Schizosaccharomyces pombe: one gene and its partners. Changing the gene in region 4 together with the main gene of any one other region gives a genetic interaction. Each region holds a gene or a part of one and is shown on either strand. Other genes may lie near its edges. The genes, in order: cph1, hif2, ccr4 and mms19.

The links.
Region 1: mutations in mms19 (region 4) and cph1 together harm fitness more than expected from each alone (negative genetic interaction), as found in Schizosaccharomyces pombe (2 studies listed by BioGRID).
Region 2: mutations in mms19 (region 4) and hif2 together harm fitness more than expected from each alone (negative genetic interaction), as found in Schizosaccharomyces pombe (2 studies listed by BioGRID).
Region 3: mutations in mms19 (region 4) and ccr4 together harm fitness more than expected from each alone (negative genetic interaction), as found in Schizosaccharomyces pombe (2 studies listed by BioGRID).

What each region holds. Positions count from the first base shown.
Region 1 is NC_003424.3:795,406-802,567, forward strand, and holds cph1 (Clr6 histone deacetylase-associated PHD protein-1 Cph1), read left to right. Parts: upstream 1-3,961; 5' UTR 3,962-4,144; coding exon 4,145-5,359; 3' UTR 5,360-5,576; downstream 5,577-7,162. Other genes in the region: export adaptor Nmd3, read left to right, coding at 1-1,175; CCR4-Not complex subunit Mot2, read right to left, coding at 1,588-2,824, 2,913-3,092, 3,143-3,195; ATP-dependent RNA helicase Upf1, read right to left, coding at 5,905-7,162.
Region 2 is NC_003421.2:189,053-197,028, forward strand, and holds hif2 (Set3 complex subunit Hif2), read left to right. Parts: upstream 1-5,311; 5' UTR 5,312-5,499; coding exon 5,500-5,551; intron 5,552-5,641; coding exon 5,642-6,408; intron 6,409-6,446; coding exon 6,447-6,866; intron 6,867-6,918; coding exon 6,919-7,374; 3' UTR 7,375-7,476; downstream 7,477-7,976. Other genes in the region: GET complex subunit Get2, read left to right, coding at 207-731, 792-1,040; kinetochore protein fta7, read left to right, coding at 1,678-1,793, 1,971-2,127, 2,186-2,350, 2,474-2,770; protein pdh1, read right to left, coding at 3,394-4,074; sec6 (exocyst complex subunit Exo3), read right to left, coding at 7,757-7,976.
Region 3 is NC_003421.2:634,681-642,480, reverse strand, and holds ccr4 (CCR4-Not complex subunit Ccr4), read left to right. Parts: upstream 1-2,857; 5' UTR 2,858-2,947; coding exon 2,948-5,020; 3' UTR 5,021-5,046; downstream 5,047-7,800. Other genes in the region: taf5 (transcription initiation factor TFIID subunit 5), read left to right, coding at 37-343, 557-1,650, 1,707-1,875, 1,925-2,189, 2,240-2,336; sec231 (COPII cargo receptor subunit Sec23a), read right to left, coding at 5,720-7,764. UniProt on the Schizosaccharomyces pombe protein: Acts as a catalytic component of the CCR4-NOT core complex, which in the nucleus seems to be a general transcription factor, and in the cytoplasm the major mRNA deadenylase involved in mRNA turnover.
Region 4 is NC_003424.3:3,854,879-3,864,371, forward strand, and holds mms19 (TFIIH regulator Mms19 ), read left to right. Parts: upstream 1-3,339; 5' UTR 3,340-3,544; coding exon 3,545-4,013; exon of another isoform or gene 4,014-4,056; coding exon 4,057-4,199; exon of another isoform or gene 4,200-4,245; coding exon 4,246-4,349; exon of another isoform or gene 4,350-4,394; coding exon 4,395-6,686; exon of another isoform or gene 6,687-6,752; coding exon 6,753-6,801; 3' UTR 6,802-6,840; downstream 6,841-9,493. Other genes in the region: protein Sil1, read right to left, coding at 6,841-7,857; signal peptidase subunit Spc2, read right to left, coding at 8,123-8,626. UniProt on the Schizosaccharomyces pombe protein: Key component of the cytosolic iron-sulfur protein assembly (CIA) machinery that mediates the incorporation of iron-sulfur cluster into apoproteins specifically involved in DNA metabolism and genomic integrity.

The DNA of each region.
Region 1 (7,162 bases), 3.1 Mb from region 4:
GGACCGAACCACATTCCCGACGAATTAAAGTCAAATTAACGGTACAGAAAGAAGCCTTTACAAACACCATCTTGCAGCAAAGTTTTCAAGTTGAATTCTATGTTAATAATACACAATGTCCTGATTGTGCTAGAACTTACACTCCACATATATGGAAAGCAGTTTGTCAGGTTCGTCAAAAAGTGTTACATAAGAGAACGTTTTTGTATTTGGAGCAGATTATTTTAAAGCATAAAGCTCACATGAACACTGTAAATATTAAAGAAACTAAAGACGGAATTGATTTTTACTTTGGCCAGAGAGCACATGCGATTAAAATGGTTGAATTTTTAAGTGCTGTTGTTCCTATTCGCTACAAGGGCAGTGAAGAGCTCATTAGCGAAGATTTTAAATCCAATACCGCAAATTATAAATTTACTTATTCAATTGAAATTGTTCCTATCTGCAAAGACGATCTTGTATGTTTACCAAAAACGGTAGCAAAAGCCCATGGGAACATTGCTCAACTTGTGGTATGTACAAAAGTCGGACCTACGATCCGCTTTCTTGATCCGCTTACTTTACAAACCTGTGATATGCTTCCCTCAATTTATTGGCGTACCCCGTTCCCTGCACTTGCAGATATTCCCGAACTTACTGAGTTCATTGTTGCCGATGTCGATTTATTAGGCCCAACAAATGGAAAGTATGCCCTCGCCGATGTGGAATTGATTAAATCATCCGATGGGTCAACGCACTTAACACGCACCCATCTTGGTGGTATTCTAAATGCGGGCAATACCGTCCTTGCGTATCATTTAGCTGTTACCAATTTTAACAATGAAGTATATGATACTCTTCGTGAAGATTCTATTCCGGAAGTTGTAATTGTTAAGAAAACTTATCCTCAAACGAAAAAGAAGAATCGGAATTGGCGTCTCAAAACTATCGGAATGCAAAAAGCCGAGGATGTCAAGAAACAAGACATTGAACGTCAAGAACGTGATTATGAGTTATTCTTGCAGAACTTGGAGGAGGATCCTGAGCTTCGCCAAGGCGTCAACTTATACAAAGCACCAGTTAAGGCTATTGCCGTTGCAGATACTGATATGGATGAGGAGGATGAGGTTGATGAAGACATTCCTCAAATAAGCGTCGATGAGTTGTTAGATGACGTTGAGGCAATGCATATTTAAAAATGCTTTAGGTTACCAAACCTTTTTTAGTTTTTATTTTGTTCTTGAACCGTTTTGGATTGGGTTATCAGATGGGATTGGTTATTCACGTACTTTAATTTTAGAAGTTTTATTTAAACAAAGCTTTCTTCCACATTTTTTTTAGAAATTAGTGATTCGTTTTAATGAGTTGAGGACAAATCGACTTTAAATGGCTTTTAAAAGTAAATAAAACTTTCGTAAGATGATATGACTTACTAAGATAACTAGATCAGTATGTGCTATGTATGAGGTGGTAAAATTATAAGTAAAGAATAGGCTTTTTTTACCATTTTTAGTCAATCTACTATATGAGGAACCCATAGAGAATTTATCTTTAAAATTTTTTAATAATATTTATGTAAATACTACAAAACTTAAATGAAAAAGAAGACTAACTTTGGAAACCAGGAGGAGGCATTACAGGGTTGCCGTTATTAATTCCTAGAGAAGTAGGAGGTTGATTCTCGGCGCTTTTTTCCTGTTCAGGGACAACCTCCTTGTCAATAACAGAACGCGCGTTGAATACAAACAACGGAGGAAGATTCTGAATCATTTCGATTTGCTTTTTATCAAATTCAGTTCCTTCCGTGCTAAAATTGATTTTACTCAACGATGAAACCAAGTCATTAATTGCTTTGTTAAGCCACTTTGTAGTGTTTTCTTCTTCCGAGGGTAATTTCGCAGCTTTCAGTTTTTGGATTTTAGGTATTGAAGTCTGGGTTGATGAGGATTTCAGTGCATCTAAAGGTTGCTGATTAACAGCGGCACGTAATCGTTCTTGTAATACGCTTGGAGATAATTTTGCCCAAGCAGCAGTTGGTGGAAGAGCAGAACTCTCTTCGTGATGAAGAATAGTTGTTGCATGTCCAGGAACGACGTTTACAGAAGCAGCAGAAGAATAAGGGGCAGGAACGCTGGTAGCAGTGTTATTAGTGGATAAGGAAGGTGTCATTGACACTTGTGGATGAACATGATCAACTGTTGTAATATGCTGATTTTGTGCAGCTGGACTACTATTAGCCTCTTCTAACGGTGTTTTCGTAACAGGAAGTAGAGGTGTTTTGAATGGAAGAGAAGGAGAAGGAGAATGAGTAGCACCATTTACCACATTAGGTTTAGTGGAAAGAGGACGGGTATGTTGAAGAGATGCCAAGTCTTCTTTAGTATAACTATCCACCTCGTCACCGGGTTCATGTAAATACATGCAAGAAGGATTGGGGCATTGCTGATTCCGTAAATAAGAAGTGCAATATTTAGTGGTACCATAAGATGCGCGAAGATGTCGCCCATCACTTACGCTGCCATCAATTGCAGCAATCGCTCGTGCAGCATCTTCTTTTCTTTGGTATGTAATATAAACTCCAACATGACCATTTGCAGAATTTGCAGCAGCCTTCTTATTTATTGCAATTTTAATAATCTTTCCGTATTGACCAAAGTATTCAGGTCCCTTCAGAACGTTGATATTCTCCTCATTTGCAACTTTGGGAGAAAGGCCGTTTACATAGGCAAGGTTCTTTTGTACAACACGAATATTTGCAAGATGCTTCCTGTTTGAAAGCTCGACTTCCTTCCTCTCTTTCTCGCGTTTCTTCCTCTCGTTTTTTCGATGTAAGTCCATCTTCCATCTAAAAACATTAGCGACATGTTTAAAAATAAAAGTGAATTTAAACAAGATTATGCTTAAACAAGAATTCTATAATCTGAATTACATACTCCTCTGCCGTGACAGGCCGCCATTGAACATTTTCTTCAGTGTACAGACGGCGACATGCAGGACAACGGCCATTTAGATCTTCTTTGATATGGTGCCAGCAAAATCTACAAACTCTGTATCCGCATTGGCATGGTTTGAAGTTTTTATCAGAGATATCAATTTCTTCCATACATAGAGGACTGTTGCAATTGTCAGTTAATTTTGATACTAATCGGCTAGTAAAACATACCAACACATGTCATCCTCATCTTCTGAAGAATATATCTCTTGCGTTTTTAACATTTTGTGTGAAATATGTCAAATCTCCGTCACAGTGCTCTCCAAATCGATACTGTTTAAGGTCGCTCGTTATACAATACAGAGGAAGTCTTCAAATATCTTAAATCAAATCTTTGATTTTAATTTAATTTAGTTAATTCCCTTAATATTCATTAGACTTCAAACAAATATTTTTTAAAGGGCAAACCGAGTTGTGGTTGGTTATAAGTTTACTTACAACTTAGTGTAAAAGAAGGAGGCAATGACTAGGTGAGAGGTTGGATTTGAACAGTATATACCACACGAAAAATAGCAATTAATAGACATGAATTAAGAAATTTGAGAAAATTCTTATTCCAAAGGTTTTTGGAATTGTGTTTGAACAACAAAAAGTACCCTTAAAAGTTTCACCGTCTATAATTTCATCTTGATAATTAATTGCAGTAAACGTTTGTAAACGAATGTATTATATATACAACTTTTTCACGTTGTGGTCAAATTCTTTAGTTATTTCATCTTCTAAGTAATTAGTGAATATATTGAATTGACGAAAAAACGATGAACAACATAATAAGAGGCATAAAGTGCTTCTCTACTTAATTTACGCTCCATGTTCCATCAAATGGATAATAGTTTTTAACAAAATGTTCAAATATTTTACATATAGAAGGGAATTTATTCTTATGATAATCATTTATACTAAATGCTCCTCTCGAAAATCAGATATCTTTAAGTAGTTTTCTAAGTCTAATTGCAACGACGTTTGGCGTTCAAAGACTTGTTGTAACTTAGCATCTTCATAACAGCGTTGCTTCACTATAATATACTTACAACCTCGACCATTGTTCTTTTTTACGATAACCATTAATTTTACCTTTAATATTCCTTAAAACATTAAGGATAGTATTGATATTTCTAAGTGCTAACCGTCGCGTATTACATGTTGCTTTGCTCATAGCATGGGAAGTATCTAATGGCATCCTCTATAAACAATTCATCTCAACCTACAGTACCTTCAATTTCTAATAATAGTCATGGCGACTCTTTCGTAAATGAAGGTCCCCCTTCTAATTTTAAAAATAATTCTTTAACATCATCAACTCACTCTTCAACTGACCATGTAAATGTCTTGCCAATTAGCCAAGACAAAGAGATGGATATAAGTTCTCCAGTGAAAAAACAAAAAGCTAGTTATTCGAATAAATCTCCAAATAAAGCACCTATTCAAAAAAGCCGGGGTAGTTCCCTAAAAAGTCATCTCGAAACCGAATCTCAACAAACTCCTGTAAAGCGACGGAGACGAAAAGCGACTATACGCAACGTCGACTATTGTAGTGCATGCGGAGGAAGAGGTCTTTTTATTTGTTGCGAGGGATGTCCTTGCAGTTTCCATCTTTCATGCTTGGAACCTCCCTTGACTCCTGAAAATATTCCAGAAGGATCTTGGTTTTGTGTGACTTGCTCAATCAAATCGCATCACCCTCCTAAGCACCCTCTTAGTATATGGTCCCAGCTTTACGATTGGATTGATTCTCAGAATCCCTCGCAGTACCGATTGCCCGACGACCTTGTGCATTATTTCCATGGAATATCTCGTGGGGATACAGGTGCTTATAAGGAAACTGAAGGAGAAATGGATACTGACGAGTTTTCTGCTTTGCCGACTGGCTCCTCTATCACTAATCTAGCTTACTGTGGTTATTGCTCTAAGCCATCAATGGGTGCTTGTTGGGTCTATGGTTGCCAGCTGTGTGACACCTTCTATCATAAAAATTGTAAAGAGCATGCTAAAAAATGCTCTCATGACTCCATTGGAAAAAAAGGTATGAGAGTACCAAAAAACGCCGTGGTGATAAGGACGCCCTTGGTGTTGGATACAACTTCTAATACTCTTAATCCTAAAGTCATGATTTCAGGATGGCAATTTCTTATGGGAGAGTTTCCAAGTGATGAACTTCTCTATTTCCCAAGATTACCCGTGAGTTGTCTCTACAAAGTTTCAGAAGACGGTCTCATCAAAGATTTTTTGTACGCGATTGGCATAGAAGCTAAAAAGTTTAATAATGAAAGGAAAAAACGAGAGTTAGAGGTTATTCCTCCAGACGTAAAAAGCGCACTACTTCCTGCGAGAACGCACCCAAACCTACCTATTGCACTACGCACTTTATTCAATAAGGCACGCACTTGAATTTTTACGATATTTTTACATTTTGTATAAAATCAGACTACGTTAATCTAATCTGTCGTGTTCAAATCGTCAGAAAAGGTTGTTTTCTGTTATTTTTTTGCTAATGTTGTATTTATAAAACCTCTTAGAACTGGCTATCTGTTGTAATTGGCTTATTTTACATTACTTTTCTCCATTAAGGCTTTTAAAAAATTTTCGTTATGCAATTAATCATTGCAAATCCTTCCTAATAGGGCAAAAGTTCTATTTTATACTAACAACTTCTCAATACTTAAATTTTATACGCGTATTGTACCGTGTGAGTATATATAAGTATATATAAGTATATATAAGTATATATGAGTAAGATGCATTTACTAGACAAAGAGGAATAAAATAAAAGAAAGTGATAAGGAAAGGTTCTATTACTAAAGTCTATTTAACAGCCATATCAATGGTTTAAAACGCTTACAGACCAAACGGTCCATAAAACTTGAACACCAAAAATATCAACAAATAAAAGATATGTTGGCATTCGTAATTACAAGTAAGCAAATACTTATTAACTAGAACCTAGTAGGTTCGTCGAACTTGCTTTCATCATCACCAACCTGACTTCTAAAGTCTTCAAAGTCGGTAGCGTTGCTTTCTCTTCGTTTGTATTGAGCAAAGACATTCCATTCTTCAAGATACGAGGAAGAGTATAAGTTCGGAAGATTAGAAAACGAAGGTAACATGGCAGAACCGGCATTCTGTATAGGAGATAGTGATCTTTGTACATTGAGGTCTCTTTTAAATTTTTGAGGTTTCTGAGGAGGAGTAAGGGTTAAGGAAAACTTTTGTAAGCTGTTCAAAGTGCCTTCAACTAAATATCCTTTTTCCTTGCAATGGAGGACAAAATGATACCATAAAGCATGTTTAGCAAGGACTTTTGGATTACCGAGAACAATTACACCATACTTTGCTCGAGTCAATGCAACGTTCAACCTTCTTGGATCGTTAACAAAACCAATACCTTGGTGTTCACTAGAACGTACACACGACAAAATAATGAAGTCCTTTTCTCTTCCTTGGAACGCATCCACCGATGCTACTTCAACAGCTTTATAAAGATCCTTCTGCATTGATCCGTTATTTTGCATGTACTGAACAATATAGGAACGCTGACCATCATATGGAGTAACAATACCAATTTGCTCAGGAAGCACGTTGCTTCTTAAAAATGTGGTAACAATTTTTTCACACGTTGAGGCTTCCGTTCTGTTTAAAAATGATGTACCGCTAGCCGACAGCTCTTCCTGACCGAAATTTGCATAAAACATTAATGGCGAATCAGGTTGTATCCATGGAAAATCAACATGTCTAGCAATACGCTCAGAAGTAGTGACACCATTTTGAAGAGTACCTTCATAAAAAGTGTTCGATGGAAATTCTGAAAGACAGGGATGCATACGATATTGCACAACTAATCTGAAAGGAGAGTTTCCTAATATAATCAGTCGCTCAAAAAGTGATTGGGAAAGGCTAGCTAATGCAACCTTTTTATTCATAACAACCGGTCCCAGTTGTTGGTGATCACCAACAAGTACTACTTGTTTGGCGCCTAAAACTAAAGGAATCATGCATTCAGGTTCTGAAGCCTGTGTAGCTTCGTCAATAAGTACTGAACGAAATTTGTACTTGGAAATCCTTCTATCACCAGCACCAACACAAGTACAACAAATGACATGAGCCGCACGTAATAGTTCTTTTTCGGCAGCAGCAACCAAAATACGCAGTTTTTTTTCATCCTGAATAGATAATTCGTTATTTTCACTTCGTAGC
Region 2 (7,976 bases), on a different chromosome or scaffold from region 4:
TAACAGCTGTAGGAATTCAGTATTCTTCTAACACTTATGCATCACTATTTTCTCTCACCCCAAACCCCTCGTATATTGGAAAGTTGTTCAAGTGAGCATTATTGATTTTTTCCCAATATAATATTGATAAAAATATATATCTGTAAAAAAGTTTGGTGTTAATTATTTATTTTATTCTGTTTTCTGCTGATTCAAAGACTTCGAACATGTCGACTGCCAGTGAACAAGCTCGACTTAGACGTGAACGTCGACTGAATAAAATCAAACAAGGAGGTGCATCTAGAATCAATCAAATTTTGGGACAGAATTCAGATGACAGTCAATCCGATGTTCGAGCTACAGCTTCCGAGGAAGCTGTACATTCTGAAACTGCAACACCAGTAACGCCAATGTCTTCAGGATTCATGGAAAAGAGAGATGATACCTTCAATGCTGATCAAGTGGAATATCTTCCTTCCCAAGATTACCATAATTTGGAAAGTTCGCCTTTTAAACTTCAGTGTGATTCTCCATATAATGTACCACCTGAAAACATGTTTAATCAAAACCCTGATTTTGCAAATTTTTTTCAAGCTATGTTACAATCCGCAAAGGAGGGATCTGATACAAATTTTCAAGGTGAAAACGAACAAATTCCTCAAGCTACAGCTCCTTTAAAAAACTTAGTTGAGAAATATGCTCATCTTTTGGCAATTTCTATAGTAGTGATTGTTTGTTATTTTAAACATTTGGTAAGTCCTCATCTTCCTTTTTTGAAATTGTTTTTTTGCATACTAATATATTTATTTCAGCCATTACTTCCGTGGACATTTACTGTCGAAGCTTGCTTGTTCTCTATTCAATTTGTTTTGGACCGTAATAATGGACCTTCTTATTCTCTTCTAGCATCTCTGGCCTCTCAGCTTCCCCCTCCCTATGGAGCAATGATCCGTCATACAACAAGTTATGTTCCGTATTTCACACAATTGATTACAGATGCGTGTATGACAATATTTGCGTTAGGTTTATGTTGCTATTTTTATCCGTCGTTGGTGTATTAATAGTTGTTAATTTTCAGCATTTACTATTTATGAATCTTGGTTTTGCTTCGCAAATTGGTGATCGATTAATTAGCATTCAATTTTTGTTTAGATGAAATAAACTAACTGATTAAGCGAGAAAGACTTTTCAAACCCTTAGGAATTCAATTTTATATTATCTTTTCAACATCTAAACGATTTATATTCTAAAACATACTGCACTTCATTTGAACTGCTTTGCAACACATGCCATATTTACGATTGTCGGTACGTTTTATTTATTTTCTCTTTTAATTCAATGGTAGCAATAGTATATGATTTAAAAAGCTCTGTTTATTGTAATTGTAGTATTAATTAAAAACAGACTACTTAAAGTAATTTCTGGGATAGCTGTGAAAACATTATAACTATGATTTTTAAAATCTTTTATCAACTTATTATTGAAATAAAATAAGTAATTGAGAATTGGCTTGGTTGACTGTATATATGTAAAACAACTTCGTCCGAAGCGCTACAACAGCATGCAAACGTTGAAACGGCGAATTCTTGTTATAGAGAAATTTTTCATATAAAACCATACGTACATATTTTGCTATTTAAGTTCCAGATTGCTTAAAAGAAAATTGAAGTGGTAGCACCATTTTTATAAATATATGCAATGGAAATGAAAAGGCGCGTTCGCGCGGTGCGTCGAGACCAAATTCAAAAAAGATGGCGTCCATTAGAGGATAAGCAGCGCCAAGAAATAATAATTATTTTTAGGACGTGTTCAAGGTAAGTAATTGAGAATCATGTTATTGCTAAAAGTGCTTGTGCTTTTTAGCGCTTACTTGTGTACTGAAAGGGAAATCAAAGTTTGCTGTTGATGTTTACCTGGAAAAGTCTTTTAAGTACTTTTCCAAATTTTTTTAGTCATTATGTGTACGTATGCTAACTGTGCTATCGTAACAGATTGGTTTTGAATACAATAAAATCAGAAACAAGAAAATCTTTGGCCGAGGAATGGTTCATGAATATACTTTTAAAAATCGAAGCTCCTCTGAGAAATTTGCCTGTACCAAGGAAAAGAAAAGAGTCAATACTGTTCTCTCAATTACTTTCTTCGAATGTAAGTTATTAAGTCTTGATACGCATACATACGAAAGAGATATGACTAACATTTTTAGATGCAATTGGAACAGCAATTATACAGTGATTTGGACCATATTAACGTACTTCAACAGGAATTGAAGGTTGAAACTGCTCGTTTGGAGAATGAACAGAAATCTTACGAAGAAATGAAACAAAACATGGCCATAAATAATTCACGGCTTGCCGATTTAAAATCTAAAGTAAGTTTAAAACACGAACAGGCGAATGTTTTATTCAAGACTTCATCTTAACATATGACACAAAATGAGTTTTCCATTGTTTCAGTTATGTAAATAATCAAGCAATCACTAATATTTTCTTAGCTTCACCCTTATTTGAAGAAAGGCTTAAAGATATCCCATGATAATTTTTCAGACTCCAACGATTTCTCGTTCCAAAAGAAACTGAATACAGAAGATTCTAATACTTCTAAAACCTCTACATTGGATATGTATAAAGAAAAATTAAAGCCATTTACGAAAACTATGCAAATCCATGCAAATAAAACTGTTCAATTAAGTCAAACTATACAAAAAGCTACTCTTCTTTTACAACGACTAAACAATACAAAAAATATAGGCCTAAATAAGTCATCCAAACTTAAGATAAAGAATATCTAGACATAGAAAAGCTAGAGCTTAAGACTTGATGACTTCTACATGTTAACATATAGTCCCTGGCCCCGAACCATGACCAACCCAAAAACTGGATTAAATCGTCCTTTAATATAAGCACTCAGACTAATTGTCCCGTCTTCATTGAATTCTCACAAATAGTGTGACGACAAGCCAACTTAATGGAGTGCTTGGTAGATTCCAGCAGCTACGGACTTAATTCAATTAAAGGACTTTTTGCTAGAGTTTAGGGTAGGGTAAGCATAAAATTATAGTAGCATTATAGTATCGATTTTGAAAGTAATTTCTTTTGCTTTATTTAATCATTAAAAGATGCCGTAAAGGATTTTGTGCCTTGCGGAATTGTCAAGAATTGTAGTATTACTCGTAAACGGTCGTGATTGTTATTTAACAGTAGTAACTGCCAAAAAAGACTTAGTTTTTTATTTTTAATAAAAGCCTTCAATATTATTTAATAAATAGACGCAAAATCATAAGCAAACTGATTTTAAATTCATTTGCGCATGCAGTCAATAATTATAAAAGCAAAGCAATACACGGGTCTTAGATAGCTAGTCAAAACAATAGCAATGCGTAAAAAAGTATTGATTTTGATTAAAACGGAAAGTTCATATAGGAAGCTGAGTATGACTTTCTAAATGGAAAAGTTCTTGAACCACAGGATGAACAAACAACACATATAGCTCAGAGATGCAAGTGCCTGAGACAGCTAAGCAGAAATAAGTCCATGGAAAACTTTGAAAAACATAAAATAAGTGAATTGAAAGGAACAAATAAATAAGGTATTTTGACAATGGACAGAGAAATTTGTTTGAAGATTCTTCCTTTTTACACGAATACAATTGGTACCAAGCAGTTAAGATCCCTGCTTGAATTGCGGTCGTACTTTGGATAATTGCGACCAACAAGTAATGTGAATCTGTAATTTTGTATGCAATAAAGCAAGGTATCAAGACAGCAATGTTTGGAATCACTGTTAAAAACTGACAGAAAAGCAAGTACTCCTTATGACCCCATGAACGTTCAATTTCAACGCCATACACCGAGAGAATGAGAATACTTGAAAGTAGCGTAAAAACATTAGCATCAACAAAACTTGTGGTAATTATTGTCCATGGAAACAAGAACAAAGCATTTGGAACCAAATGAAAACATAAAAGAAAGAAAGTTACAATAGAACTCCTACCAAACACTTTGATGTAGATGCTGATTCCAAATGATATTGCAGAAAACAATACCTCTAGGATAAGAAGCCTTTTCGTAACCGAAAACTTGGAGAAATGATTCATTGATAAATTTTAGGTAAAAAAAAATAGTAAAGTTCTCGTTACCGTAAAAATCATCGACGTCAACAATTTTGGTCTCAAAGTAAACAATACCAGGATACCTCTAAGTAAATGGTGCAATCCGAAATAAAATTTCTAGCTGTTTGCATCTAAAAAATAGAAACTCTTACGAAAACTGAATTGGCCAAAGATCGCTTCACTGGAATATAAGCATAATAAGAAATTGCCTATATGGATTAATACAGTTAGTAAATTAGAAAATGAGAAGTTGAGATAAGACACTGCACCTGGTTTTTTAATGCCTTCTCAATAATCTCATTTACAGGGACATTCGGTAGCGGGTAAGATGATAGGTAGGTCATGGCTCGACCAGATTATAAACATCCAGAAAATTACATAACTTTGTAGCTTGCCGATTCTAATAGAAGATAGAAAAGAAGTTTAAACTCGCTGATATATTTGTTTGAGCACAACCTGGTTTATCAAGTAACTATGATCGGTTCGGTTGAGGAGATAAACGCATTCAAAGTTAGAGTAAATAGTAAAGGGAGAAATTAATTTTTATTATATTTGGCAGTTTTTTGAGGGAAACCCTGATGAGAAATTGCTGCATATCGCTCTGCTGGGTTAAAACAAAGTGTTGATTCTCTTAATCGAATAATGTCTTAAATTATTAGTCATAATTCAAATCATCTTTTCCTTTCTTAGAATATAGTGAATGCATTGTTTAGAGCGGTCTTATATCAGAAAGAAGCATTCGCTTGACCTTGAAACATTTGTAATAGAAAATCACATTTCCTTAGCATGATAAGCGGACCCTGAATGTTCAAATTATTCAAATAAAATAGCAGTATATTTTAGAAATAAAAAAACCAAATAAGGCTCCTACCACTCTTGTATGGAATGTTGAGTACAGAAATAGCATACGAATTCATGAAAGTCAGAAAATACAATCTGGCTGCCAACTCCTTAACACAAACTTCTAAAAGTGAATTTTGATTGAAATTAAAAGTCGAAGAGAACTATTAGCATTGCCGTTTTAAGTTGTTAAGAGACCGACTTCAAAGAGGGAAAACTTTACTGAAATTCCTCGGATACAAAAAGTGGGCACTCGATTATTTTTATTTTGATCAAGCGCTGTTTAAATAGTAACCTACGTGCAAATAATAGAGCAGGAAGATTTAATCCACAGTTTCAGCCATCGCACGTATCTAGTTAAATTTCGGTAACTAATACTTCCACAACTACTAAAAACCGTCTCAATGGGAATTCGTCGACAATCCTTCAAGTTAAATCCGTATTGACAGGAAAAGAAAGAAAATAGAAGACTGTTGAGGTTTTAAGTGAAACTCGTTGACAGACCTTAAGATTTGACTTTAATTTACGTGGGTAGCTTGAACCATTATAGATTTAGAAATTGTGGAGGAAATGGATACGAATCAAGTTAATTATATAATCTGGAGATATTTGAAAGAATGCGGTATGTTAAATAGTTGGTTTTTGTGAATCATAGTCGCTTCATCTCTCCTTTTTTTCGGTTTCGTTAACATTATCGTGTTTTTTGTTGTAGGTTATTCGCATACTAAATTTGCATTTGAAAGGGAAACAGGCATCCAAAATTTAGACAAACAATGGGGAAGTACTTGCCAGGTTGGCGCTTTAGTCGAAATTCTGCAGAAGGGTTTACAGTACGTGGAGCTCGAAAAGCACTACGTTGATAATCACTCCTCAAACGAAGAAGCTAGCAAAACATCTATAGATGGAGAAAGTCTTGTAAATGAAAATCCTTGTAAACTCCCTTTCTATCTCACCGTACCTCATATATGCGAAACGACACTGACGAAAGCTGACTCTACCAATGGGTTTTGCGAACACAATAATTCTAATGATCACCAACTTAAAATTTTACAAGATAAGGGGTCTGGGTCGCCTTCATCTCCGGTCATGCCATTTAAGGATAAAATTGAGAAAAGGGATATTGACATTACTATGGCCGATGAATCAAACGTAGAGAAGGATCCGGCTCGACCTATAGCCGTGTACAACAGTTCACCTGTCACGGAAATAACAGAAATAAAACAGGTTACTTTTACTGGCGGCGAAGACATAAAGTCGGATTTTTTCAAAGTAATTCCTACCAAACACCCCGTTACCTGTGCAGATTGGCGTCCACTATTACAAGAAAATTACCATGTTTACGAATTTTCTATTGGTATGACAAACGCTACTCTGGCTTCAGTTAGCATTTGTGAAGAGCAAAATGATTTCAAGGCAAAAACAGATTATTGTCTGCAATCTTCTTTCGATAACCAAGATATCACTGGCGTTGCTTGGAATGTAAGGTTCAAATTTTTTTTTGAAATACTAACTTTTAGAATTCTGGTTCTTTTTTAGCCTACGCATTCTTCAGCGGTGTGATTGAAATTTACGATAGTCATGGTTCTCAAATCCTTAGCTTTCATAACAACAAAGGCCCTGTTTTATCTTTGAAATGGAGCGGTACTGATACATATCTAGCTGCTGGTTCGGCGGATGGAACTATTACACTCTTTGATCAACTGAAGCAAACACAATATTCAATTGACACACTTGCATCTTCCGTTTTAGACATTGAATGGATTAGCTTTGATGAATTTGTAACTTCGGATGTGGAAGGCTCCTTGCGAGTATACAAGGTCGATGGCAAAGCTCCGGTTTCTACAGTTTCTCATGCGCATGATAATTCTATTGTTGCTTTACGATACAATCTACGTATCTCTCTTCTATTAACTGCTTCTAGTGATACCACTGTTAAGGTAAATTTCTTTTGTCATTCTAATAATTACTGTTTTCTAACGTTTTGTATAGCTTTGGTCTAGAGGTGATGCTGGTGCTTTTGAATGTTTACATGTTTTTTCTTTTAGCTCACCGGTTAATTGTATTGACTGGAATTTGCGGGAAGGGACACCAATTCTAGCGGTTGCTTCAAACAGTATCGTTTCTATGTATAATGCTATTTCCCTTCAGCAACTTGCTGTATTCATGAGGCATACAGCTCCTGTTAGTGCTTTGAGCTTCAGTCATAACGGTCGCTATCTTGCTACTGGTGATACTTCTGGGGGAGTATGTATATGGTCATGCAAAACAGCCAAACTATTTAAGGAACTGGGTTCCGATAACTCAGAGTTAATTGCTGTTACTAATGTACTTCCAGAGGAGCAAGTTAATTTCTTACGGTGGAGTTTTGATGATAAAGATTTACTTATCGGTAAACAAAAGAAGGAGATTATTTGTTGTTGTGATTTTTTACATGATTCTCTGTAATTGAACCTAGTTGATCTTGTATATATCCATTTATTACAGTAGGTTCGTTGGGTCATCATCTATAGTCAAATATATACATATATATAATCATATACGAATTTTTATTTGAAGTTACTAAACTGGTAGCTAATATTTGTCAAAACATAATATGAACAGGAAACAATATGGACCGCGAAATTGTCAAGGTCCAATATCTATTTATCACAAATACCTTAATTATAGCGACGCTTTCGATTGCCATCTTGAAAGTTAGTAACAGGTATAATAGATAGCGTGAACGCAAATTAGTGGCTTCGTCTAACATAAATCAAAAGGAACATTACTATAGGTAAAGATAAACCGTACGTAGATCATTAAAATTCAGCAACGACTACTTTGGATCTCATAAAATTGAACTTCCAGAAAGAGACGTGACTTGGGAAAATACTGTCGGTTGTTGCGAAGTGTCTATTTGGAGTGAATCATTTTCATGGCGTACAATATCAATCATCTTCTTTATTATTGATTTTTCCAGGTCGGTGCGGTTTTGAAGGACTGCTTCAACCAAGGACAAAGGTGCATCCCAGTATGCTTCTTTCAGCAAATGAAAGTATTCGGAGACA
Region 3 (7,800 bases), on a different chromosome or scaffold from region 4:
TAATTTCTTCAAGCTAGAGTATTGGAGAATTTAACCATGTCTGCCACTAATGGGCCGCAACCGCAGGATCTGAACAGAATTGTTCTGGATTACCTTGCGAAGAAGGGATACTCAAGGACCGAGGCGATGCTTCGTTTGGAAGCATCGGGTTCTGGCGTGTCAGTAGAGGAGAAGTTAAAAAGCATTGAGGAAACTCCAGATGCATACACACACACGTATACGATCTTACGAGACTGGGTGGATAGTTCGTTAGAATTGTACAAAGCTGAACTTCACAGGATATTATTTCCTATATTTGTTCACTCATATCTTAATCTCTTGTCTCAAGATCATTATGAAGCTGGTAAGTTGGTCATATTGGAGGAGGTTACGAATTTGTTACATGTTTGTTTCGATGATCTACGAACAAGAGGGGTATTTGAACTATTCTAAATACTTATTAGTTTCTTTATCTATTGAGTTTACAACTTGTCTTTATTTCTGAAACTCATTCCACTTGACCACCCATATTTAATTCTTTATAAGGATAAATGATAATTTTACTAACGTGCTATAGCAAAGCAATTTTACGAACTCTTCAAAGACGATCATACTGATCTTCATGACTTTGATGTAAAAAACTTAAAATCGCTGAGTCTTCCAAGCCATGTCGCAGAAGACCGCACTGCTCAACAATACCGGCAAAATAAATATCAACTCCATTTTTCTAGGATAACATTTGATTTATTGCTTCATTTCTTATTTGAAAACGTTTCAAACGGTGGGTCAATTATCATTAAATTAATCAATCAGCATATAGATATCCATATCGTTCCCGGACGTCCCACCGTCTTGGAAAATGCTAAAGTTATCAATGAACAAGAAGGTATTACCGGCCAATCCTTTGAACGAGGAGATGCTCAACTTCAACCTGTAAAGCTGCAACAAATGCCAATGGACAAAGAAATGGAAAAAATTGTAGAGATGGACTTAGAAGAAGAGGATATGATGCACCAAAACGATCCAAATAACCAATCTCCAAAACTATTAAAAGAATTTAGAAAGCTGCATGAACCTAATGCTGAAGATGCTCCGTCTAGAGATTATATCCCTCTTCCTCCTCATAAAGGTGTTGATATTCTTTCAGAAGTTGAGGCTGTGAAAGATTGGAGTAAAAGATTACATCTTGGACCTAGAGCCTCCCTTCCTAGTGTTTGTATGTACACATTCCATCACACCAATAACAACATGAACTGTGCTGAATTTTCTCCTGACTCCACAATGATCGCCTGTGGTTTTCAAGAAAGTTATATACGGCTATGGTCAATAAAGGCTGACAAAAAATCATTACCTAAGTCAACTTCTGTAGAGGATTCAGATGGCTCAGTACGTTTACTGAGTCATTCTGGTCCTGTTTACGGCACCACATTTTCTCCCGATAATAAATATTTACTATCTTGTTCCGAAGATGCTAGCGCCCGGCTGTGGTCTGTTGACACAAAAACTGCTTTGGTAGCTTACAAGGGACATACTGGCCCGGTTTGGGATGTTGCCTTTGGTCCGTTTGGTCATTACTTCGCTACTGCTTCTCATGACCAGACTGCACAACTTTGGAGCTGTGATCATATATACCCACTTAGAGTTTTTGCTGGGCATTTAAGTGATGTAGACGTATGATTATTATCTTTTTTAAGAAATGTGTTTCCTTATGACTGACTTGTATTTAGTGCGTTACCTTTCATCCAAACTCCGCTTATGTGCTAACTGGATCAAGCGATAAAACATGCAGGCTTTGGGATGTACATAGAGGACATTCTGTTCGTGTTTTTAATGGACATACCCAACCGGTAACTGCTGTTGCGATTGCCCCAGATGGTCATACTATGGCAAGTGCTGGTATGTTATACATTTGTTATTACTAATGATTTTACTAATTTGATTAAAGACAGTGAAGGTCTAATTCACCTTTGGGACATAGGAACAGGAAGGCGTATAAAGACAATGCGAGGTCACAGAGGCAACATATACTCTTTGTCATTTTCTCGCGAATCCACGGTCCTCGTTAGCGGAGGGTCAGATTGTACTGTGAGAGCTTGGGACGTTTTCAAAACTAATTACAACAATCCTGTTTCTTCTTCTCTAACGGGAAGTGTTGTTACACCTTTCTCTGCTAAAACATCCACATTTAATGAAGTCAATTGGTCTACAAGGTATGAGAAAATGTAATGGAATCGATATATTTACTAACCTTCTCAAACAGTCCGGATCAAATGGTAGCTCTTTATACGAAGCAAACCCCTATATTTAATGTCTCCTTTACGCGTCGTAACCTTTGCTTAGCAATAAGCGTTAGTTAGATAAATAAACCTTTTTTGATCTTCAATATGTTTCTTCCCGTCCATACTTTAAGAAATTTGGCATTATATAAAAAAAGATTATAAAAAATTTAATTTAAATATTAAACATTATCTTACTTTACGATAATGAGTCAACAACTAACTGCCTTTTAACAACTTTGAGACATCCATGTATCGGAATCGAAATTAGGCTGAATAATTCATATTTGATGTTCCGGAAAAGCTTTTAATATTATAAACTTCATAAAGGACTTCTGATGATACATTATATATTAAATTTTTCAGTAGCTCCAATATTTACATAGACCATAACAGCGCTAAACATAAGCTAAAATAATTTCATGTTTGGACCCTAAATTATATTATTTAGAAAAAAAATTAATAATATGAATTAATTGAAAGCATTCATATGCAATTATATACCTAAAAAACGATTAACAGGACACTGAGTTTTCGTCTCAAATCTTGGTGGTGAGCTTTCGTATCCCACCTATAAGCTATCACGGGGTTCGACTCTTGCCGTTCACCAACAACCTCACTTTTATTGTATATATAGTGAATGTTGTAAATTAGAATTCATCTCGACTTTGATATTTTGCGAGATACCGTCTATGTTTAATCCTAGGTATACGCAAGGTACAATTTATCCAGGAGCGCACCCGGGGCTGTTGACGCCAGACCATCAACATGCAGCAATATTATCTGTACAGAATTCGCCAGCTTTAGAAAATAGTAATATTTCTGAACATTGGAAACAGCAAATTGCACTTGCAACTCAGTCCAGGTCCTTCAGTTCACCACACCAACGAGCTCATAATGCTGCGGCTTTAGCACGAAGTGGAGGACCTGGGTTTTCGATGAATTACAATGCTCGGACTGGAGCTTTTACCGGAGGCCCTAATGCTGCTGGCTTATCCTCGTTAGGGGGAAAGTACAATACTAGCTCCACTACTACAACATTGACGACCTCAACAACATTAAACACTTCCAGTGGTACTACCTTAAACAGTACGTCAAAAACAACCACTTCTTCTGTTGCGGTTGATGACCAAAAGTCGAAATCTGACTCTAAGAAAGAGAGACGGGATTGGACTTGTTTGGACCTTGGTGGTATTGGTTTGAGAAATGTGAGCACTGATTTATTTAAATTCTCTTTTTTGACTGAATTATACATAAACCATAATAATCTTACCCGATTACCACCTGAAATTGGCAAACTGAAGAATTTGGTTATTTTGGATGCCTCTGGAAACAGCATTAAAACTATTCCACCAGAGCTTGGTTTACTTACTGAGCTTAGAGAAGTCCTATTGTTTGATAATATGATTAGTGTAATACCTGCCGAACTCGGTACCCTTTTCCAATTGAAAATTCTTGGTATTGAAGGTAATCCTCTTCAAGACGTTTACAAGAATCAAATCATGGAAAGTGGTACTGCAGGTTTAATTGCTGCTTTGCGCGATGGTTGCCCTGTTGGCCCTCCTCCTCCTGAGCGTGGATGGGAAAAACTTGTTTCCGATGATGATGATGATGTTAATGACAATGTTTCAACCTCTGTTAGAGATTTAACGGCTGCTGATTCTAACAAGCCCTCTACAACATCTAAGAATCTCAAGTTTACTATTATGAGTTATAATGTGCTTTGTGAACGTTATGCTACATCCACATTGTATGGCTATACTCCTTCATGGGCACTCTCTTGGTCGTATCGCAAAGATTTAATCATGCAAGAATTAGGTGGTTATAATGCTGATATCATTTGTTTGCAAGAAGTTGATGTTGAGAACTATGATACTTTTTTTGCTCCACAAATGAGTTTGAAAGGTTATAAAGGTGTCCACTTCCCGAAAAGTCGCGTACGAACTATGAATGAGGTTGAACGTCGCATCGTCGATGGTTGTGCTACATTTTTCAAAACATCTAAATATGTCATGCACGAAAAGATGGTGATAGAATATAATCAAGCACCATCTCTTCGTAGGCAAGACATTAAACTAACGTCTAACATGTACAACCGTGTTATGACTAAAGATAACATTAGTGTGATTACTCTTCTTGAGAATAAGGAAAATGGATCGCGATTGATCGTTGCAAATTGTCATATTCATTGGGATCCTCAGTTTAGGGATGTCAAGGTTATACAAGTTGCAATGCTCATGGATGAGATTGCACAGGTTGCAACAAAATTCCGTAATATGCCTTCCAAGATTCCTTCTGACCAGTTAAAGGATGAAAGACCTACCTATCCCGAGTATTTAAAGATCCCCATCTTAATTTGTGGAGATTTTAATTCCGTCCAAGGCAGTGGTGTTTATGACTTTTTATCATCTGGTAGCATTAGCCAAAATCATGAAGATTTTATGAATAATGATTACGGAGAATACACTGTTAATGGACGTTCTCATGCATTTAATTTGAAATCTGCATATGGTGAATCTGAAGCTCTCTCCTTCACTAACTATACACCTGGCTTTAAGGGTGCCATTGATCACATTTGGTACACCGGCAATAGCTTGGAGGTAACCGGTTTGTTGAAAGGAGTGGATAAAGATTATCTTTCCGGCGTTGTTGGTTTCCCTAACGCACACTTCCCTAGTGATCATATTTGCTTGCTGGCCGAGTTTAAAGTGAAACAGGAGAAGACACCCTTACCTTCATCAAAGTTTAACAATGATAAAAAATGATTGTTAGTTTTTGTCGTGTTTGTAGATTTTAGAGTGATACTTAGTAGCAAGTAGATGGATTTGATGTATGATTCTGCATTTCGCAAGTACCAGGTATTTGGTTAAGTTTACATAGATATCAAAGCAGTGTAATTTTCCTTGTCGTAATAATTTGAATAGATAAATTGTAAATCATTGAGGTTTCGTTTTTGTTTACGTAGTTATTCGTTTTACTTTTATTGGAAATTAGCATTAACAAGGGGTGAACCGCCACACATCGTACTGATGGTTTGCATTAAAACGTTGATTTTTTTATTTTCATAATAAAAATGAGCTTCGCCATTTCATCAACATTCAACCATCTCTAAAAATCGATTGTGTTGAAGATATCCTTATTTTGCTCAACATAACTTCACAAAAAATTCATAAAATATTTATCTATTTTAAAAAACCAACAAATTACAACGAGCGTAATACTAGAGAAATATAACATCAGTAAACGAAATAATATTGATAAGCAAGACTATGCTATCCTAGACTCAAGCCAAAAGTGCTGAAATTTTAATCATTCATTAATGTTTATAATAGTCAGCTGGAGAGACCAAGAAGTTTATCAAACATAAAAAGCTTTTTATTTATGAGAATCACCAAAAGACTAAACTTCTTAAAAACGATGACTACAAGTAAGGGCTGGTAGTTTATAGATTTCATAAAGTGCATTTATGAAACAGCTACGGCAAGTTTTTTCAGATGACTCATGAAGGTTTGTAAGGAGACATCATCAGTTAAAATAGCATGAGCAGGTGGAGCACCATACATAGACGTAGTGTTGTGCGTTTCAGAAGGATTAAGGCGAGAAAGAAGAAACCGTGCCTGACTGCCTCCCTGGTCACAAACGATAAATCGAGGGATCGGGAATCGATCAATAAGCAACTCCGCTGCTTCGACTCTAGGAGCTTCTAAAAGTTCTTTTAGGTTTTGGTATTCAGGCTGATTTTGATAGCCAGCATTTCTCCATTGGGCTATAGTGTCCCCATGGAAAATTAGAATATGGAAGAAAGTATCGAGCAAGAGAATAACATCCGGTTTTACAGATACAGCGTCCAGCAGCACTGGAACGCCACCAGGGTGTTCGAAAGAAAATGATTGCAAGGTAGGTTGAATCATAATAAGAGAATTGTTAACATCTTCATGGTTGAGCATGTGACGATAAAATGCAGTCTCATCTGGTGAATTGTTAAAAACTTGCAGAAAGGGGCTACGTCGTAAGTAATACATAAATTGAGGGTAAAGGGTAAATTGTGAAGAGAGACGGAAACTTGACGGATCATCTTTTCTATACTCAGCAAACTTTTGACAAAGTTTGATCAGCATTCGGTCGGTCCATCGAAGGACGTCAGGTCCATCATCGACTTCCGCTTTGAAAGCTGCAATACGAGCCATAGCAACAGCAGCAGCTTCTTGATCAAATGAATTTACGATCAATGGACTACCTCCATCAGCAAAAGCGCGAGCCACTGTTGTTACACGAAGTCGGAATGTGTTTGATGAATGTTGATACAAGGTTAGATATTGTACCAAACCTCGAGAGTCCCCCTGAGGGGCAGAGGCACTTTGAGTAGCTACTTCAAAGTAAATGGCATAAGTGGACTTTGGTGATATACCACACATTTTCCAACTATTAGTGTTACCAAGGCCAATTTCGATATCGCCAACATTTTGTGATTTCTTGTTTAGGGATACTGCGTGGCCGATAAGACCGGAAATTTTCAACTCCTTAGTTGTAAGGACCTCCATAGTTGCATTAAATCCAAGAAGCATATTATTCAAAGAATCACGACCAAATATTCTTTGAAAACTTTGCTTAAAGATAGAAGTAGTGAAAGAATCAGATAGAACAAGGTAACCCCCAGTGCTAGAAGCCAGGCTTTTCATTTCCATAATTCCGATTTGATCCAGACATCCGGCAAGAATGTCTACAGCATGTCCATTGGCGCTGACACGTTTGGTAAGGCCTTCATAAAAGCGCAGTGCCTTCTTTACGTGCTTTGCCTGGTCACGTTCAATGTCGTGATGCGAACGAATTGGCTCACGAAGTTCGGTAGAAACAACAGTTCCAGGACCAACGGTGCTAGGGCCACCAGCAAAAAGCATAATATGACCACCACTGTTGGGACAAACACTTTCCATCATGCTTACAGAAATGTTCAAAGCGGTACCAGTACAACGTTGAGGACGTCTGTCATTGGCAACAGGCCAAGAATCAGGTTGTAGTTGTTCGAGGATGTTAGTAAGTTGAAATTCACACTGTTGAATGGGAAGGAGGAAGCGCGATGGAGCAGCCGAGCCTTGGAAAGAGCGAGCTTGTTGTAAGGCGACTGGAGAAACATTACTAGTGGGCAAACCAAGCATTTCCTGAATCTGCTTGGAAGTGTAGTCCTTAGATCCGCGGAAAACATAAGATTTAGAACATTCAGTGTAGCCAAGTTCATAAACATCTACCATGGTGCCAAAGGTAACTAAGCCAACTAGGCATTCAGGGGGGAGTAAGCTTAAGCTAATGATTAAAGAATCTTTTAAAGCTTGCAAGTTTTCTTCGTCCTGGCAGACATCAACCACGAAAAGAAAGACTGGAGTGAGTTGGGGTGGTCTGGGCAAAGTATATTCAATCGTAGAATATTCCGGCAATAACTCAATTGGCAAACTAGTATTGGAAATGTCCTTATATTGAGGTGGTAACATATTACGTTGAAGACAAAATGGACCTAGAATATATGTCAGAAATCCCCTCTTGATCATTG
Region 4 (9,493 bases):
GAAAGAGAAATAAATATGAATTAGACTTGCTTCATTGCAAAGGATAAGTTGCATCCTTATTTTTCATTCATTGTCCTAAAGCATTCATTTATTGCACGGTAAGTCTCAGTTGGACTCGATAAACGGTTTAAGAGGGTGTATCAATCATTTAGATGAATGCCAAGATTTGAAGAAAATAGTATAATTATGGAATTATGGAACAAATGATTATTATTCTACATTATGTGTATAGACACAAAAATTTACTTTTAACAAGTCTTTCTCTTTAGTTTACATCCCACTCTTAGAAGACCATGGTTTATTTTAATAATAAAATATGCCATTCTATCATCGATGAAAATTGAGATTTGTATAATAAATAGTTAAATTTTAGTGCGCCAAAAATTAAGGGCTCATTTATGCTTTATACAGACTTAGTTTTTATAAACGTTTGCTATAAGTAACAGCATTACATAAATAGCAGAGGGCTAAATGCTGGCTAGATAAATATGAATGTAAAGTATGTTAAGAAATATTGAAAGATTACTCTCATTTCCAATGCAGGATTAAATGAAGTATATGAACAGATTTTGCATATATACCAAAAAACTCCAATAAACAGAGTGGTGATTAGCCACAGATACATTTTTTCTGTCTAGGTATGAACAGAACTTTATTTTATCAAAAGATGGTGCATTAAACATTTAGCTTTTATTTCTCCTTGGCTTTCCAATGAAATCCCACTGCGACCCAGGAAAAACAAGCTTTCTAGGAAGTGTTATCTGTAGCGGAAGGCTCTTTCGTTTCCTCTGATTTCACAGACTCCAAAAACGACGGTCGCCAACGATTCAAAAGCTTTGCGGCGGAAGCTTTAACATCTACATTCTCTTTCCACATCGTCTCAAGAATATCAAGGCATTTTTCACGTACAGGTTAGTCGAAACATTATTAAATACTGAAAAGTCATGAAACCGAGCTTCGTCTTATCGGGATCAAGACATACAAATTTAATTTTGTCAACTATAGCATCGGTGAGTTCTGGCAATTCAGACATAAATATCATAAAAACTTTATCTTTTGCCTCTAAGTATGGTAAAATGCTGTCTATTACTTTAAGGGCCCATTTTTCATATTGTGGACCTTCCCACTTAACATCCTCATATTCATGACAATCCGGATTTTCAAGCATTAGTCGATCATTATACCATTCCTCGGATAACCAGTTCAATATTAAATTTGTACTGGAACGCCAGTTAGATGCAACGTAAGTAAAAAGCTGCCCTCGAACAAATGAAGACAAAGTGAAAGAAGCATCTCCAGATTCCTCACCAGACGTTACAGGCTGATAATTCAATAAGCCTCGCGTACAAAGTCGTGGTAAGAGAATTGCCCAGTGACGCTTATCCCATACCGTATTATCCACATTTTCCAACGTTAAATTTTGAAGGTTAGAAGAAGAAACTATGCTTCTTTCAAATTGAGGAGCATAATCAAATAATCTGGATAAGGCACCGTGAAAGTATTCTAGAATAGCCATCGGGGACAGCGAATCTGGAGTGGGTAATTCAAACGCATCAGTAACGACATTGGAGGGAGCACTTCCCTCTAGTCGAGCTGCTTCACGTTCTACACTAGCATTGATAGTCTGAACATCTACCTCAGGCGGTTCATAATCCTCGTCCTCGTCTTCATCAACTTGTTGATCAAGACCAAGGGATTCAGGCTCAGAGAGAGAGCGCACTCTCTCTCTCAACATATTAATTTGCTGATGAAAGTAGTTTTTGTCTATCTTAAGAAGAGAAGTAAGTACAATTTCAGTAGCCACTTCAACCGGAATTGAAGTTACATCAAAATTTGCAAGAGGATTTATAGCAGTTTGTGAAGCAAATATGCTGATTAAGGGATTATTTTGCAAACCATCGTGAGAGCTAAGTTGGGGTTGCATTCTTTCTACAAGACTTTGTACAGCAGAAGACTTAACACGCTTAGAGGCAGCACTAATATTTCCCTCATATTGCCGTTTCTTCAAACTTTCATCGACTTTGGTATGATAAATTTGTCCGGAAAGATAAGCGTGAATTTTTTCGACGGAAGAAGAAGATGCACCTGTACTCTTAGCTAAATGAAGTAAAATAAGTTTTAGATTTTTTTCAATACACCGTATAGCTAACTTGCTTTCGTTCGACAGCTCAATTTCATCTTTTGGATTCGGAAGATGAAATTCTAACAAGCTTCCTATGATTTTTGGTGCTAGTTCCTTCCGTCGCTTCACCAAAACCGGTAAGATATTCAAAACGCTAGTAATGTAAAGGACATTCAAAGAATCCGAGAAAAGGATGGAAAATATTTTTTCAATTAAGTCATTTGCTTCTATTCTGAGGATATTTGAATTGATAAAAGGATGATGTGTGGGAACCTTAGAAAGAGACACGTCCGATTTAGTTACAAGACGGGGATCTCGAATCCCAGGCACTTGCGTTAAAATTACACAAGAAATAAATTTAATACAAGAAATTAAAAGAGGCTTGTTCCCTTTGTCAAAGTCATTAATGATTTCGTTTTTTAGCTTCGTTAAAGTGTCCCAGGTAGATGAATCGTTAGGTGAAGTACAACAGTGCAGAAATACTAGTGGGTAGATTGTGCAAGAACAAGATATAACGTCTTTTTTAACTTCTTCATTATCTACTGCGTACAGAGAAACAATTGTATCTAGACAAGTTACAGCTAAATCCAATTTCTGCTCAAATTTAACATTTTTGCTCGAAAATCCAAACCAGAGGAAATTTGCCATCCATTTTTTATACCTTATATCAGAATAGTTTGCCACAGAAAGAATGTTTCTCACGATTTCTGGAAAAAGGCTTTGATCAGTTTTAACAATATCTCGAGCCTGGTTTAAACGAGTAAGATGTTCGTCTGTCTCCGAAACTTCCATACCAGGACTAACAGAGAATTTAAGATGATAATTATATTAAATACTTATATGCTTATTGATCAATTTCTCAAGTAAATGTTAAAACTTTGCATCCTCTTTTTACTTTGCTGTCGGTTCAAATTTTGGTAAGAGAGGGAATACATAGCGCAGTGGTTTAAGGATCGTTAATATGTAGTGACTATATATAACGATGGAATAAAGGTTTTTGTGTATGATTGTAAAATCTTGAAGTAGAGATTTGCTAAAAAGAAACAAATTTTTAAAAAAAGAAAATAATATCCGATCTTTCTTCTAATTTCTTTAATTCATGGATTTAAGCAATTTAATTTACACAAATTCTTATCAGATTATCTAAATACTTTAATTAGTTTAACTTCGCTTCGGTAAAGAAAGCATACATAGCAAATGACATTTTGCAATTTGCCATTGTTAACCACATTTTCTGAGAGACGTTTCAACGATCTACTGAGGAAGAGTGCCGTCTACCTACTAGCTAGAAGAAAGTCAGCTTCGAAAAAGAGGACAAGGTTTCTAATCTCTGCTTCTCAATTTTTGAAATTCTGTTTTTTCTTATAGTGTTTATTGTATAGAAAATTGTTAGCATAATAGTACATATTAAATTTGAGGAAGATGAGCTCGAATTTAGTGGCTTTATATTTATTTTCTATTGATAGAAGTCAGGATGAGGCAAACGACGTTGTAGATCGAATTGTCGAAGAAATTGTCACTGACAGAATGGGGATTGTCGATTTGGTTACTTCAATTGGAGAGTATTTAACTGACAACAATATCTCTGTTAGAGCAAAAGCAGTTTTATTACTGTCACAAACTTTAGGTGAGCTTCCTAAAGATAGACTTCCTGCGAAACATGTATCTGTACTTCTTCAGTTTTACTTGAGTCGTTTGGATGATGAAGTTACAATGAAGGAGAATGCGTTAGGTATTGGAGCTCTTCTAAACATGCAAAACTTCCCTGCTCAAAAGATTGTGGATGTTTGTAAGGCTCTCTTCAGTTCCACTGACATGCCAAAATATGCTCAAGCAACTCGTTTAAACATTTTAAAAGTATTTGAAACCATTATAGATAATTATCTTTTCTGTAAGGATCTTTTTGGAGAGTCATCAATTAACTTAGTTCTCAGTCATCTCTTCACAAACTCGCGATGCTTTCTTCTCTGGAATTTGTTCAACTTTTGCTGGTGAGAAAGACCCTCGTAATCTTATGCTGGTCTTTTCTATGCTTAAAAAAATACTTTCTACATTCCCCATTGACGGATTTGAACAGGTATGGATCTCATTGTTAATCGCCTAATGAAATTACTTACATGTAGCAATTCTTTGATATCACTTATTGTTATTTCCCGATCACTTTCCGTGCTCCGCCTGATGCCACCAATTTGGCTATTACTAGCGACGATCTTAAAATAGCTCTCCGGTAAGGCATCATGACATGTGAACTATTGCTAACCGTCCTTTGTAGAGAAACCTTGGTTGCTAACGACGCGTTTTCAAAATTACTTCTTCCTGCTTTATTTGAAAGGCTGAAGGCTTCAACTGTTCGCATAAAAATCGATGCATTAAACATTTATATAGAAGCTTGCAAAACTTGGCGCGTGGGTGCTTATTTATGGTCTGCTAAAGACTTTTGGGAATCTATTAAGCAAGAAATACTAAATTCGACAGATGCTGAACTTCAAAATTTGGCGCTTGGTGCACTCAATACTTTAGCTAGTAAATTTTATAAAGAGGAAGGGTTTTCATCTTCGTTCACAGAGTTTGTGGATATGATTTTGATCCAATTATCACAGCGTTTACTCGAAGATGTTAATGTTAAATCTTGCGGATCTTGTGCAGCTGTATTTGCTTCCTTGGCTTCTATCTCTGTGGAAACATTCAATTATTGTTCATGCAATTTTTTACCCAGTGTTCTCGATCTACCAATGGTAAATGAACCATTGGAGAAACAAAAAGGGATGCTAGTTTTTTTGGAATACGTCTATAAATGTTTGGTACTTTTATACGGAAAGTGGAGAAGCAAAAACCAGGCTGATATTGACAACCCGCTACTTGTTTACAAAGACAAGCAACTTAGTTTTGTATCAGGCTCCTTGATGGGAACAGCCAAAGATGAAACTGAAATACGCATGTTGGCTTTAAAGGTTATTTTTTTAATGGCTTCGATCAAGAACTTCCTAACAGAGAGTGAATTAACCATGGTACTTCAATTTTTGGATGACATAGCATTTGACTTTTCCGATCCTATTAAGAAAAAGGCAACAGAATGTTTGAAGGATTTAGGGTTACTAAAGCCCGACTTTTTACTTTTGACTTCATTTCCTTTCGCATTTTCAAAATTAACTGATGATGTTACTGCTAAGTCATCTTCTGAAGAAACTTTTAAGCAATATTTATCGGTACTAGTCTCAATATCTGAAGAAAGGAGTTTGTTTAAGGCCCTTGTCATCAGACTTGTTGAGATGTTGAAAGATCAATTTAAATCCAAGGAAATGAGTGTTGATCTTGTCGAATCAATTGTTCAAAGTTTATCCGTTGCCTTTAAGGAAAGAAATGATCGAAATGAACAAGAGATTCCATTCTTTTTTGAAGAACTACTGAAGCAACTTTTTACCCTTTGTTTCGCTAATTGCGAGTCAATGAATGTGAGATGCCTTATTTATGTATCACAGACAATAAATGAGATAGTGAGAGTAAACCATTTTGAATTTCAAGAAAAGTTTGTTGGTCAATTATGGAAATTATATATGGAGAATTCCAATTCCGACTTAATTGAAACTGAAGGTTGTGAAAAAGCTGCAGAAAGATTTACGCTTGCAGCATCTTTAAGTGATCAGAAATTTTTAAATTTAGTGGTATTATTACAGGGTGGTCTTAATGGATTGAGTAAAAAATTACATTTTATCGAAAAGTTGAATATTGAGTTGTTGAATTTACTCATAAATGTTGTTTTTGTTACGGAAAGTCCTGGCGTTAAAATTAGCGCTTTACGTCTCATATCCTCGCTTATTAACAAATGTGAAAAAGACGAAGATATATCAAGTTTTATATCTTCGAAGGGAGTCACGTCTTTGTGGGATAAAGTTTATACTGGAACTCCAAAGGAATCTGAAGCTGCACTCGATGTGCTGGCGTGGGTTGACAAAGCTTTGGTCTCTAGAAAGCATAGCGAGGGCATTCCTTTGGCTTTTAAATTATTGGATACTTTGAATTTACAAAATGTCGGAGATTCTTCGGTCAAGGCACTTTCAATAATTATCAAAGACGATCCTGCGTTGTCCAAGGAGAATTCATATGTCGAAAAGCTGTTATACAAACAACGTTTTTACGCTAGTGTTAGTCCTAAGATTTTAGAACACATTTCAACTGCTACTGGAGGAGAAAAGTCTTTGTATTTAATGCTTCTTTCTAATGTGATAGGAAATGTGCCAAAAGAAATTGTAATTCCAGATATGCCATCTATCCTTCCACTTCTACTTCAATGTCTTTCACTGTCTGATATTAGTGTTAAACTTTCGACGTTGAACGTTATACATACTTCGGTTAAAGAATTGACTTCATTATTGACGGAATATCTTGATACTTTAATTCCTTCGCTTTTGGCAATCCCTAAGGATATGAATAATCCAACTGTTGTTCGTCTTTTAGCCCTTAAGTGTCTTGGAAGTCTGCCAGAGTTTACTCCTACCACGAATTTACAACTATTTAGAGATAAAGTAATTCGTGGACTCATACCATGCTTGGATGATCCTAAAAGGTAAGAACCATTCATTTTTAGTGAAAAGAATAACTGTTAACTACAAAATGCTAATGAATAATATAGGGTTGTAAGGACTGAAGCAAGTCGAACTCGTCATAAGTGGTATATATAAAGAGAGATTTTGATAAGTCATTTTTGAAAAATAAAAACGTTAAATATTGTATTTTTTAGGCCAAGGAAGAGATAAAGCTTCTTTTATAATTAAATTAAATTCAGTAGCAAGATCTGGATCTTGATAAATTAATTTATTTTTGTACGCCAAATTTTTATCGTTTAACCATTCATAAAAGTTAACTTCGGGACAACTCTCACTAACACTTTGAATTGTTGATACGGTGTTAAGTAGAACCTCGAGCGTTGAAATTGAGCGTAAATGCCAATTATTCATCAAGTACTTTTGAAAGATGCTACACCAAGTCGAAAATACCCACTCTATTGGGATAACTTTAGAAGCTTTGCTAAAATTGACATTTTCCAACGAACGAGCAATATTTTCAAAGATGATGGACAACCTACTTAGCAGTTTCTCCTGAAAAGCAGAAGGAATATCAATATGGCTGTTTCTCGACCAAAAATCATACAACTGAAGAAGAATAGCCGATCCTAAATCTTTACTAATGAAAGCCTCAGATAAAGGAAAAGATTGGACAGATTTACTTAATAGGAAAAGTTTCTTCAGTAATGTAACTGGGTGGTTTTCCTGCCGTAAAGTGTTCACAATTTTTGGCATAATATTCATTTCTAAAGCCTTTTTCTGAGCTATGAAATTATTGCTAAGCGCTGATGCCAAAACAACAGACGACATTGAACGAATCGTATTTGGATAGTCTTTCCCATCCATCAAAACAAAAAGTTGATCGCACAGAGGCTGTTCAAGTACATCCTGACCAAATTTTATATCATGAGCCAAATCACGCATTGTTTCTAAAGACGACAACACAATGCTTGGGTCTGAAGTATCAGGATTTAAAATTACAGAAGATGACTGATCGAACAACTGTCTATCGTAAAGTGAAACAGATGAATCTGAGCTTACAGTCCTCACATTCAAAAAAAGGTAACATATTGCAAGAAATAGATTCGACAAAGAGAATGTTAAAGTAAAAAAAATTCTGTAAATTTGAGTATTTCTTTTCTTTTTAGACGAGTTTCCCAGAATCGAAAACATTGAACCGATTAATCTCCAATTTTTTCACTCCTGTTAGAGAGTGGTTTATGGTAGGATAGATTTCAAGAAAAAAAAATCCATAGCATGATTAGGCAATTGCCGCTGGTAAATGGAAAACGTAGCAATAAAATTCATGTTAAAAAATAAGAATACGATACGGACGTTGTGGCAGGCATGGAAGCCTTCTAACGAAAATGTAGTAATTGAGTATTTCGCTTTTTGGCAACAACTCAAATTGAGAATTGATTAAAAAAATTGAGCTCAATCAGTTTTCAATTTGAGACAAGTACTTTGAAATTTCCGCCTCAAAAGTTGCACTTGATATTTGGCCATCTTCTTCAAAAATGTGAGCAACAGGAACCGACCATTCAAGTTGAACAGCATTTCTGTTTTTGAGTACGGTAAATTTAGTAGTGATTAGAGGCTTATTTTTCAAAGGTAAAAAGGTATCCGCAGAAATTTTGATGTGTCTTTCTTTTTTCGTAGCAACATAAACAGTACTACCCTTGACTACAGAAGACCAAAATGTGAGCAAGCAGGAAGCTAGGAAATATAAAGGTAAAAGATACTTTAAGTAAGATTTTAAAACACCAAAACCATAAACATACTCAATGCCAAATGCGAGGCCGGCGGGTATAATGCAAGCTATTGCGATCAGCAAACGAATATCTTCAAATACAAAGGATTGCTTATAACCATTTTTGTTAAAATGGTTTGTTAATTCTTTATCAAATTTAGATTTGAAATCTGAAACGTTATATTTTGGCATTTTTACTATTAGCTTAATTATGGTAGAGGAAGCAAGGCTGTAGTTACTGATGATCAGATATGCGGTTTCGTTGATACGATGGCATGATGATTTTTTAAAATTAAGTAACCTAAAAGATGTTTTAATATTTAATATAAATGCCTGAGAGCAAAAACATGAACTCCGCTACTGGAACGAAAGCAAAACAGTCGATTACTAAGTACTTTATAATACTATCATGCTCTTTCAAATACAACGAGCCATAAATTTGAAATAATAGCCAAATAAAAAATATATATGGATTCTCAATAGAAATTGGCGGAAGGGTTTCATAACAAATTAATTTGGTACAAAATATCATGCTCATTTCCTTGTCTCGATAATAATATCAGAATTGCAATCGCAATGACTGTTGAAAAGGATTATGAAATGGAAAATGTTGTTTGAATGTAGCAGTACTTGGCGTTTAGTAAAAAAATAGAGGAGTACAATATTGATATTTCCTTTCGCAAAACCTGTTTGTTCCAATAGTGATATCCCTCGATGAACATATTCCTCGCTTTTATTTATTCAATTTTCACTCGCTAATTGTAAGTTATTATGCAAATGAAGATAAGGAACCCGGTACAAACCGTTTAACAAGCAATTGCTATTTTCTATAGGAAAAGCTAGATTGCAAAAACTACAAAGCATATTGATTTCGTTTGATACAAATGTTTTTTAGGCAAGACAGAGCCACTTGCGAGGGCTCCAATCCTAAATCCAATTTCTGAAATTCGCCTTTTTTACAAATAAAATGTATGAACGAATTTGAAAATGGAACTTTTCTCTCTATCCACGAGTAATGATTAATTAACCATTCAATAAACTTTTAACCTTAATTCATTG